Linked DNA regions of Canis lupus familiaris. The protein of the gene in region 2 purifies or fractionates together with the protein of the main gene of each other region. This does not show direct contact. Links are inferred from orthologs where the notes say so. Each region holds a gene or a part of one and is shown on either strand. Other genes may lie near its edges.

What was found.
Region 1: the proteins of PYM1 (region 2) and MAGOH purify together in Homo sapiens (co-immunoprecipitation; 8 studies listed by BioGRID and IntAct, counting the BioPlex papers as one, with this or other methods). This does not show direct contact. The link is inferred for Canis lupus familiaris from reciprocal best matches to the Homo sapiens genes PYM1 and MAGOH.
Region 3: the proteins of PYM1 (region 2) and RPS16 purify together in Homo sapiens (co-immunoprecipitation; 3 studies listed by BioGRID and IntAct, with this or other methods). This does not show direct contact. The link is inferred for Canis lupus familiaris from reciprocal best matches to the Homo sapiens genes PYM1 and RPS16.

What each region holds. Positions count from the first base shown.
Region 1 is NC_049226.1:56,149,041-56,152,784, forward strand, and holds the start of MAGOH (protein mago nashi homolog), read left to right. Parts: upstream 1-1,400; 5' UTR 1,401-1,530; coding exon 1,531-1,618; intron 1,619-3,744. UniProt on the Homo sapiens protein: Required for pre-mRNA splicing as component of the spliceosome. Plays a redundant role with MAGOHB as core component of the exon junction complex (EJC) and in the nonsense-mediated decay (NMD) pathway.
Region 2 is NC_049231.1:616,587-620,330, reverse strand, and holds the start of PYM1 (partner of Y14 and mago), read left to right. Parts: upstream 1-1,520; 5' UTR 1,521-1,903; coding exon 1,904-1,937; intron 1,938-3,744. UniProt on the Homo sapiens protein: Key regulator of the exon junction complex (EJC), a multiprotein complex that associates immediately upstream of the exon-exon junction on mRNAs and serves as a positional landmark for the intron exon structure of genes and directs post-transcriptional processes in the cytoplasm such as mRNA export, nonsense-mediated mRNA decay (NMD) or translation.
Region 3 is NC_049222.1:114,582,031-114,585,765, reverse strand, and holds the start of RPS16 (40S ribosomal protein S16), read right to left. Parts: upstream 2,926-3,735; 5' UTR 2,813-2,925; coding exon 2,765-2,812; intron 2,645-2,764; coding exon 2,543-2,644; intron 409-2,542; coding exon 312-408; intron 182-311; coding exon 134-181; intron 8-133; coding exon 1-7.

The DNA.
Region 1 (3,744 bases), on a different chromosome or scaffold from region 2:
GACTCCAGGATCATGCCCTGAGCCAAAAGCAGACAGACGCTCAACCACTGAGCCACCCAGGCGTCCCTCATTTTATTTTTTATTTTTATTTTATTTTTTTGTCCCTCATTTTAAAGATAAACTTGAGTGAACCTCGAGATTCACTGATCCTAGGAGAGGAAGGGACTGATGACTGTGGCGTGGAAGGTTAGTTCACACCTTCGATCATAGCGAATCAAATCACACAAGGATTATTTTAACACAAGCTTCCAGTGATTTTCCCTCTTCACACCCACTCTACACCAGTTATTTTTGGGGGGAAGAAAAGGAGTAATGCTAAGACTGGGAATGAGAATCAAGAGGCCACTGACCTCAATGAAGAACAGTATACAATTACAGTGGTCAGGCCCCCAGAATGATGCCATCTTAGCACGGTCTCTAGACCTGATTTCACAATTCCCTGCTCTCACTGGAACTTCCACGAACTAATGCAGTTTCCTAATAATTAGGGTTTTGACTGTCCTTTGCCTACTCAAGGAGGAAAATTTTCCACAGCCTGAAAGACTTCACAGAGGTCAACCAATTTGGCCTGAAAGGACAAGGGGCTCTTGGGCATCAGTCCTGCCCCGTTGTTCATCTGGGGCGGGGGGGGGGGGGCGGGGGGGGTTTGCAAAAAAGTACCAACGCCCAGGTTCAGGGCGGCGAGAGAACCTGATTGTCTGGTTTGGGGTGGGGCCCAAGCATCAGTATTTTTAAGATGCTCCCGAATGACTCCGTTGTGCAGCCAGGTCGGAGAATCCCTGCCGGGTAAGCAGAGCCTAGAAAACGAGAAGGGGAAATTCCATATCCAGTTTAACCTCTACCCGCAGCACCTGCTCTAGAGACCAGTTAAGTAGAAAGGGAAAGGTAGGAATTAAAAAAAAAAAAAAAAGTAAAAGTAAAAGGGATAAAAGGGAGAGGTCAGTTCCAGGGAAACGGCAGCGGCACCACGGATTCAGGAAAGGCGTCTGTGGGGAGCGTTTCCGTGAGCAAAGTTCGGCCGGAGCCAACTTCTGACCCACGCGCCAGCGCGTGCGGCGGTCCGTGGGGTCAGCTCCTTCATCACCGACGGTGAACAGCTGTCTCGGGCTCGCCCACGTTGGGCCCACGCACACGGAGGTCGAGCCTGGGGCGCAGCCCTCGCGGAGCTCAGCCGGACGTCGTGAAGCAGGGTCCCCAGACCCGCCGCCCAAGCCCGGGCGCCCTCGCGTCGCCTGCGGCCTCGAGCCTCGGGAAACCCGGGGGCGACCCGTGGCCGCGCTCCCGCCGGCGGCCGAGGGGGCGGGGCTGCGCTGACCCCGCCTCCGGGCGACGGGGCTCTGGTTTCCGCCGGGGGATGCGCCAGACTTGCCGCCACTTCCGGGAACGCAGACGGCCTGGGCCGCTTCGCAGCGACCGGCAGCCTCGCCTTGACGTCACATCCGCGCGCCCCGGTAAACGTCAGTGTTGGGCGCACAGCGCGGCGACGAGGTTTGCTGGTCAAGTTTCGTCTCCGTTGCCTCCTTATGAACCATGGAGAGTGACTTTTATCTGCGTTACTACGTGGGTCACAAGGGCAAGTTCGGCCATGAGTTCCTGGAGTTTGAGTTCCGGCCCGACGGTAAGAGCGGCCTCTGGCCCCGGCCGAGCGAGGACGGGGCCTGGGGTCGGGCGAGCGGGGAGGCCCGGGCTCCGGAATGTGCGAGGAGGAGCTAGGAGAGGACGGGACTGATGACTGCGGCGCGGATCTGAAAGGGCCACTCCTGTGACCGCTCCGCTGGTTCTTCCCATGTGCACGAACTTTTTTTTTTTTTTTTTTTTTTTTAACTAGAATGCTTCATTCAGCAGACACTGATTGCATACTTTGTGCCAGGCTCTCTTTCACAATTTGGGACAAGTTTCCTCTCATAGCGTATATATTCTGGTGCTGGGAGAGATATAAACAAACAAAGATTTCAGATAATGACGAGTGGTCAGAGCATGAAACAAAACGATGGAGTAATTGCTAAAAAGTGGACTGCTTTTAAGCAGAGTGGCCACTGGCGTGCTCTCTGGAAAGGTAGTATTTGAACTGAATCCTAAGTGACAAGAAGGAGAGCCAGCTTTGTGAAGCTCGGGAAGAAGGGCATTTTGGACAGAGGGAGTAACAAGTGTTAAGGCTTTGGGGCATGAACGAGCATGTTCCAAGTGGCCAGTATGGCTGAGGAAGTAGTGAGCTCCGAGGAGAATAGTAGGAGACAATGTCAGATAAGCAGGGGTACACCATGTAGGTCTTTACAGGCCATGGTGGAGAGTTTGGATTTTATTCTAAGTGCAGCAGGAAGCAACTGGAAAGTTTTAAGGAGAGAAGAGATGTGATCTCTTCCTGAAAAAGTATTCTAATCATGGAGTATGATTAGAAATAGAGTAATGATTAGAAAAAGTAATCTATTCTAATCATTGCAAGAGTGGAGACAGGGCAACTTATTAGGAGACAGTGAACAGTTGTCAAGGTAAAAAGGATGCTGGTTGGGACTAAGGTACTATCAAAAGCGCATAGAAGGGTTCAGGATACTGTTGGAGGCAGAACCAATAGGACGTTGCTGTTTGATAAGATCTGGGGGAAGGACCACTGTGGGGAGGAAAAGGAATCAAAGATGACAAAAATAAAAAATAAAAAACCTCCCACTAAATGGGGGCACAAAGATGAATCTGACAAGCCCCAGTTGTAAACAAACAATGATAGGATAGTGTGTTTGATGCTGTGGTACAAAGAAACGGAAGGGACTCTGGAGCAGAAAGAAGGCAACCTAACCTAACCCTCAGGTAGCCTGAGGATGGGAGAAAGCTTCCTGCATAAAATGACTTGGGGGAAGAGGAGTGATAGTCTTAGTAATGTGCAGGAGTTGGTTAGGCATTTGGACATCAACATCAAAGAAGCTGAAAACCAAAAAGTGCATGGGATGTTTCAAGCAGAAACCAAGTAAGGTGGTTAACTCCAGCTGTGTAAGAGTGGACTATTGCAGGAGGGAGCCTGAAAGGCAGGCAGGGGCTCAGCTTAGCAGTTATGCCATGTTGAAGAATTTGGATTTTTATCAAGAAGGCAGTGAGAAGGGATCCCTGGGTGGTGCCAGCAGTTTAGCGCCTGCCTTTGGCCCAGGGCACTATCCTGGAGACCCGAGATCGAGTCCCATGTCAGGCTCCCAGTGCATGGAGCCTGCTTCTCCCTCTGCCTGTGTCTCTGCCTCTCTCTCTCTGTGTGACTATCATAAATAAATAAAAATTAAAAAAAAAAAAAAAAGAAGGCAGTGAGAAGCTATTGTCATTATCAAAGTGTTAGAGTAACCTGGGGCACCTGGGTGGTTAAGTAGTTGAGCGTCTGCCTTTGGCTCAGGTCATGGTCCTGGGGGCCTGGAATCGAGACCTGCATTGGGCTCCCTGAAGGAGAGCCTGCTTCTCCCTCTGCCTATGTCTCTGTCTCTCTCTCTGCATCTGTCATGAATTAATAAAATCTTACCAAAAAAAAAAAGTATTAGAGTAACCTAATTAGATTGGTCTGTTACTACATCACTTTGTCTACCGTATGGAGAATGAACTGAACCAAGAGAGACAAGGCAGAGATAGTGAGTGCAGTGAGGCATCAATTAATCTGGCTCTTTTTACATGTGTAATCCCAAAGGTAAAAATTCATCTATTTCCTTTTCTCTTCTTTTCCTTCATATCTAGCATATAGCCTTTTGGATGCATATACACACAAAAGGCCTTGTA
Region 2 (3,744 bases):
AGGGTGTGTGTATGGTGGGGGTAGGGGGGTCACATCCGGGGCCCAGGGTTGGGACCCAGGCAGGTCTGCTGGGCACATAATAGCACAATTGAGTTTCACTTCCTGTCAACCCCCGAGCTGAGGCAAGATGTTTGGGGGCACAAGGAGGGGCCTAGGGTTGGTGACTTTAGGATTCTCTCTTGCAGAAAGGTCCATTGATCCATGCATCCCTCTAGTTAAAGGCTTCATTACGCATTCTCACCTCTAATAATCATTAATAACAAGACTAAGGACAAGATGCTGACCCAGTGAGGCTGAAGCCCAATTGTTGCAAGAGAGCAGGGGTTGGGGCACCTGGGTAGCTCAGTGGTTGGACGTCAGCCTTGGGCTTGGGTCGTTATCTGGGCATCCTGTGTCTCTGCCTCTTTATGTCTCTCATAAATAAAATAAATACAGTTAAAAAAAAAAAAAAGACAGCAGGGATTAAGAATGGCAGTGTTAGGGATCCCTGGGTGGCACAGCGGTTTGGCGCCTGCCTTTGGCCCAGGGCGCGATCCTGGAGACCCGGGATCGAATCCCACGTCGGGCTCCCGGTGCATGGAGCCTGCTTCTCCTTCTGCCTATGTCTCTGCCTCTCTCTCTCTCTCTCTCTCTGTGACTATCATAAATAAATAAAAAAAATTAAAAAAAATATTTAAAAGAATGGCAGTGTTAGAACATTGGGAATAACTGTGTATTGAGTGCCAATCAGTGCTTAAGTGAATCTTTTAAAAATTTTTATTTATGTATTCACGAGAGACACAGAGACCCAGGCAGAGGGAGAAGCAGGCTCCCTGCAGGAAGCCCGGCGCGGGACTCGATCCTGGGACCCCGGGGTCGCGCCCTGAGCCGAGGCAGACGCCCAACCGCAGAGCCACCCGGGCGCCCCTAAATGGGTCTATTTGGGACCTTCTGAGCGGGGCCTCTGGTGCGAGACAGGAAGGTGGAGGAGGGGATGGACGACAAGCGACGACCTGAGAAAAGTTCAAAGCTTCCTATCAAAGTTTTAGGAAGTTAGGCAGTGCTCTCGCCTCTCTCAAGCGCGTGCGGCCTAGTGTCGGAGGTAGGCCCTGAGGCCGGGCCCTCGCGGTGCAGGGGACGTTAACGTAGCGTAGTCCGTAGCCCGAAGCGGGGGCCTGGGGGTCAAAGATCCGCAGGGAAGGGCAGCGCAGCGGGAGCGCGGAGCCAAGCCCCAGGAGAGGAGCCTGCCGCCGGCCGCTCCCGGGCTGCGGGGCGACCTCTGGGTCCCTCCGGGGAGCGGGAGGCACCGGCCGGCGGGCGGAGGGAGGGGCCCTGCACGCGGCCGGCTCCAGCTCGAGGCCCGGCGCCCAGACCTGCGCCAGGTTAATGAGACTCTAAGTGGCTCCGCCCAGAGGCCTCCGCCCTGCCCTCCGACCCCGGGGCCGGCCCGAGGAGGCCGCCGGGCCGGCCGGGGATCTCGGCGGCAGCCCGGGCCGTGCGGGGCCGAGCGGGCGGCCCCCGACAAGGCCGGGCAGCCGGTGCGCGCCCGAGGCCCCGGGGCCCGGGGGCAGGGTCCGGCCTGACCCCTCTACCGGCCCGCGCTCCGGGTGCCGGTGGGCCTTGCCCCTCTTCCCCGAAGGCCCCGGACGGACGGAGGGGCCGAGCCCCGGAACTTCTCTCACACGGACCAGGCGCCCGATATTGGTATCACTGGCCCTACTAGAGCCTCCGGCTTTTATTTTATTCAAGTCTTTAGCTTCTAGCTGCCTTTAGTCTTCAGCTTCTCCGCCGCCTCCGTCCACGAAATGGTGCACTCTCCCTTTAAGACTAAAATGGTGGCTGGCTGCGATCTGGACTCCACTTCCGGTGGGGAGGGGGGCGGGACCCCAGCCCGCTCACGCCGGAAGTGGTTTGCGTTTTCAAGATGGCGACTCCCTATGTAACTGACGAGACCGGCGGTGAGTGCGGGAGGCGCGGAGCCGCTTCTCCCCGGGCTCTCGGGGCAGGGGTTCGGACTTGGAAAGGGGTCTGTGCCCCGCCCATCTCGGGGCCCCTCCTTTTGCCCCGCCCTCCGGACCGCCTTCCCCATTCATCCTCTCCTGTGGGGTGTCACCTGCGCCCCCTTCTGGTCTCGCGTTTGGGGGTCCCTGCTTCCGGTCACCCAGACCCTGGGGTCCTTCAGTGAGGTCCCTGCTCCAGGACCCTCCTAGGCCCATAGCTTTCCTCCAGCAGCTGGAGATCCCATATCTCTCTTGGCTGCTCCAGGTGTGGGAACTCCTATACTCTCAGTTCCCTCCAATTCCAGCTTTACTCCGGCTCCCCTCCCCCACCTGGCAGCTGTACCTGCCCTGTGCCCTACCCCAGCCCCGTCTTGGTTCTCTTCCTCGAAGCTCTATCTGTTAAAGACCTCTTCGTTGCCATAGAGTGCTTTTTCCATTCTCTCCCTCGCCTTCATTTTTGGGTCACTGAGGTTCAGAGGTGTGAAGGGAAGAGGAATCGAGTATAACTTTCAGCTTGAGTTTTCTTCTTGATGGCATCACCCTTCTGTACCTTCTCTGGTGGTGGTGGTGATAAAAGTCGAGGGAGCTGAGGTGGAAGAAGGCAAACAGGAGGTGTCTAAGTGGCCTCTCAAGCCCTGTGACAAGTTCATAGAAGCCACGATTCTGGCTAGAGAAGAGTTTCCGGCCTGGCTGGTGGAGATGCTGAGGTGTATGGAGGTTGATGTGTTGAAAACTGGAAGTCAGTATTTTCATTTTGGTTTTGTCCCATCCTGATTTCCTCATCTTTAGAAAAATGTGCCTAGGAATATCTACCTAGTGACGATCAAGTAAGATAGCATATGTGAAAGCAATTTATAAAAAGCTGTACAAGGCTAGGTGTTACTGGTTTTTGTGGCCTTGGCTGTGTACATGCAGTCTCTTGTAGACGTGACACTGTGTGTGCTGCTGTGCTCTGAATTGTGCCCTTTATGCTTCTTGCTTTGCTACTTTCCATGTTCCTTAGGTCTCAGCCCACCTCTCCTGTGGTATCTTATGACAAGCCGGGTCTCTGCTACTTGTCTCCAGCCTCACATTTCAAAGTGGTGCACAGAACCTCTTCTGTTCTCTACAGAAGATCCTTCTTCTACTGGCTCCTTTTAATGTGAGCTTTGAAAATATTACTTACTGTTCAGTGTGCTTTTCTTTATTCAACTATTTTCTTAAAACCTATTTCACAAAAATCCAGATACCACATTTCACTCTACTCGCCCACTAAGAGTTATCTTCTGTTCTCTGACTATGTAGAAGAGAAGGAATAGCACTGCTTTTTTTTTTTTTACTTTGTCTTACTACTTCCAGATCATTGACCTACCACTGTCATTCTAATCTTTGTGGAAGGTATTGCCATGCAATTATAGCATTTTCTCTAAAATCTCAGGGCCATCATTTATTGCCCATAAGGACCCAGACCTGTTGCATCACTTTTTTCTCCACTGTGTTTCTTGCTCTTTTTTTTTTAAAGATTTATTTATTTATTTATTTATTTATTTATTTATTTATTTATTTATTTATGATAGACATAGAGAGAGAGAGAGAGAGAGGCAGAGACACAGGAGGAGGGAGAAGCAGGCTCCATGTTGGGAGCCCGACGCGGGACTCGATCCCAGGACTCCAGGATCGCGCCCTGGGCCAAAGGCAGGCGCCAAACCGCTGAGCCACCCAGGGATCCCCTGTTTCTTGCTCTTATTCTCAGTATCTCCAGCATCTTTGAAATATTCTGGTCTTA
Region 3 (3,735 bases), on a different chromosome or scaffold from region 2:
TCCACATCTGGAGGAAGGACAGTGAAAGGTCAGAGCGGTGGAAGCATCCCCCAGTCTCTGGGATGAAGATAGGGGCTGGTCCTCAACCTGCCACCCACCCACCCACCCACGGGAAGGAGCCGTTCTCACTCACATTTCTGGTAATAGGCCACCAGCGCCTTGGAGATGGACTGGCGGATGGCTGTGAGAGAAATACATGCACAGAAGAGTATATCAGCTTTGAGAAGGCCCAAGAATAGGGCCTGGCTCTCAGAGCCACCTGCCCATCCGTCCCCCACCCCCCCGCCATACGCCCAATTCCTGGAACTTACCGTAAATCTGGGCCACGTGACCACCACCCTTCACTCGGACACGGATGTCCACCCCGGCAAATCGCTCCTTGCCCAGAAGCAGAACAGGTTCCAGTAGCTGGAGAAACAGGGGACATGACAGGATTTCCTATCACAACCTGGACAGCTGACTATCTCACTGAGCACCCTACTCCTCTCTCTCCAAATAACTGCCACCACTGACCTCAAAGCACTAGTGGGCAAGGAGATGCACAGCCAGGAGAGCAGGGAGCACTTGAAGATGGATGAGAGACTCCTGAAGGCAACCTGAGCTGGGCCCTCCTATTTCTGTCCCTCTGGGCCTCAGTGTTCCCATCTCTAGGACTGGTTCTTAAAAGTGTTAGCATTGGGATCCCTGGGTGGCGCAGCGGTTTGGCGCCTGCCTTTGGCCCAGGGCGCGATCCTGGAGACCCGGGATCGAATCCCACGTCAGGCTCCCGGTGCATGGAGCCTGCTTCTCCCTCTGCCTGTGTCTCTGCCTCTCTCTCTCTCTCTCTGTGACTATCATAAATAAATAAAAATTAAAAAAAAAAAAAAAAAGTGTTAGCATTTTAACTGAACACGGCAAACCTCTACAACCACCAAAACTACTGCAAACGGTGAAAAGCCACTCCTGGACCATGTCTTGCGCTTTTTCTGGATTTCTCCCCTTGAGCTCTCTGCCCAGCCCTTTGAACCTCCCATTTCCAAATTACAATACTACACAACCTGTGCCATGCTATCCCCTTGCTGGCTCTAGATGTTTTGCAAGTGCCTGCGTGCTCCTGTTTTACCTACTCTAGGTCTCAGCTCACAGATCCCCATCATCACTTCCACCCACTCCCCAAGCCTGTCCTGATCCTTCCACCTAAGTGGAAGCGTTCTCCGGGTTCTTCCATTCCAACAGACTACGCTGGATTAGTGTCTGGTACTGGGTCCAGTCTGCTTCCTCCAGTGGACTAGGAGCTCTATGAGGGTAGGGCCTGGGACCACCGCTCTGTACACAGGACACACAAGCAAAACTTTTGTATAACTGACAGTCGGTAAGAGTAAACCACAGTACTCGATTATCTACTATGCCAAGGCATCTAAGACTCTATCCTATTAAATTCTAACTAATAAACCTACTACAGTAAAATTATTTTCCGCAATTAAAAGTAACAATTTTACCACAACCCTACACACTGGAGACTAATGTAACATTGTGTGCCCACTACACTAAAATCAAAAATTCAAAGGTAATAAAATAAAAGCAACATACTTTATGAAGAAACAAATGCATTTATTCACATGTTAAGCAGTTTACACTAACAACCTAATTCATCCTCACAACAGTCCTTCAAGGTAATAGTTATCCCACTTTTATAGAAGAACCCAAAAAAGAAAAATGAAGTTACTTCCCTCAAACAATAACATATATAAAACAGGCAAAAAACAGACTCTGCTCTTTCCATTCTGAGCTCAAGAAACTGAGGCAAAAACACGCAGGGGACCACGAACCCCTTTCACAGCAAATCACAACAAACCCAAATTCTGTTTCTGTTCTTCCAATATTTAATTGTTGACCATCAACAGTGTCCAAACCCTACTCTTACAAAGTTTTAAGAAACCCTGACAGAAATAAGAAATTGATTTCTGTTCTCTGAGTCTACACTCTAGCAGGAAAAAAGATGTTAGCTTGTGAACACAACACACGTCCCGCATTAACTTAGTGCAAGAAACCAGACTGCACCAACTCCTGTTGCCTTTCATTCCCCCAGTGAGTGGACTTCCAAAAATCCGAGTTTTTAAAGCATCTTCATTTTTAAAAAAAAGACTTTATTCATGAAAGACACACAAAGAGGCAGAGACACAGGCAGAGCGAGAAACAGGCTCCGTGCAGGAAGCCCGATGTGGGACCCGATCCCAGACTCCAGGATCACGCCCTGAGCCGAAGGCTGATGCTCAACCTCTGAGCCACCCAGGTGTCCCTGAAAGGACCCTCTTTGGATGCTTTCCAAAGCAAACGTGGATATCTGCAATATCCACGTTTTCACTCTGCCCACTCAAACTTTTATCACGGTATCTCAAACCCCCGAAAACCACTTCCCAAGGCCCCTTTTTCTCTGCCCCCAACTGTTTCTAAATATCCTCCAGCTTCCAAGGCCAATGAACTCCAGGAACCGACTTACTTAAACATCTCTTTCTAGCTAAAGGCCTCCACTCAACCCAAACGCCCCTCCCCAATCCAGCACCTTGTACTGCAGCGTGCGTGGCTCGATCATCTCCAGGGGCCGCCCGTTCACCTTGATGAGGCCGTTGCCCCGCTTGCAGTGCGCCACGGCGGTGGCCGTCTTCTGTGGAAAGCAAGGGAGCAACCGCGCAGCCACGTGAGCTTCGGCCCCCGGCTCCCATGTCCACCCCACAACGGCTGACCCCCGCCTCCCTCCGCCCCTCCCTTCGGGCACCCAGACTACCTTACGTCCGAAGACCTGCACGGACTGCAGAGGACCCTTGGACGGCATGGCTGCGACGGTAGGGAAGAGCTCTTCACCGCGCGGCGCTGCAACCGGAAAAGGAAAATGCGGGGCCGCCCCAGCCGCTTTTCAGGGTCTGCGCAGGCGCTTTGGGAGCTACGTCGCGACGGGAGAGAGCTTGACGGCACATATTGCAGCCAGGGGGCGGGACTTCGGAATAGCGGCGGGAAGGTGGGTCCAAGGACCGGAGGAGGCGGGACCTGGGAGCGGAAGGGGCGGGGCCTGAAGTGCGCTGCGTGCAATCGCTGGAGAAGGCTGAACACCCGCTGTTCTTCACACTCACCCTGGTCGTTGCCCCCCCGCTGCCACGTTTGCCTTTCGGCTCTTTAAAAATTTCCCTCCACCCAAAAGCTCGATTCTCACGGTCCTCAGAAGAGGCTCCCGTTTACCCCTCGCCACTGGCTATCGTCCTCCCCTGCTCCGCAAATCCTCCCTCGGAATCGCACCTACGGAACCCACAGCCGGAAGTCAGGCGGGATTTCCAGATTCAGGATTCAGAACCCACCTGCTCCGAGAATCCTCTCCCAGAATCTCCTTTTAGCGCCCCACGCTCAGAATCTACTCTTCACCAGAATTCCCTTCCTTTTAGAGTCTCCTCCAGACTCCCCCCCCCCTCTTCAGAGCCCTCACTCAGCTCCTCTTTCCCCGAATCTTCGTCCACTCAGGGGCCCCGGAATCTACTTCTGCCCGCAATCCACCCTTCCTGGAACCTCCTCGGTAGAATCCCCTTTCACAAAATTTCTCTCCCTTTTAGAGCCTCCCTCCTTCAAAATCTACTTAAGAATTCCCTTCCCTTTAGAGCCTCCTCTTCCCAGCAACTGCCTCCCCTAGGATGTTCCTCCCCTAGAATTCTCCACACCTTAGAGACCCTCCCTTCATTTCTTTTTTAAAAAGATTTTATTTATTCATGA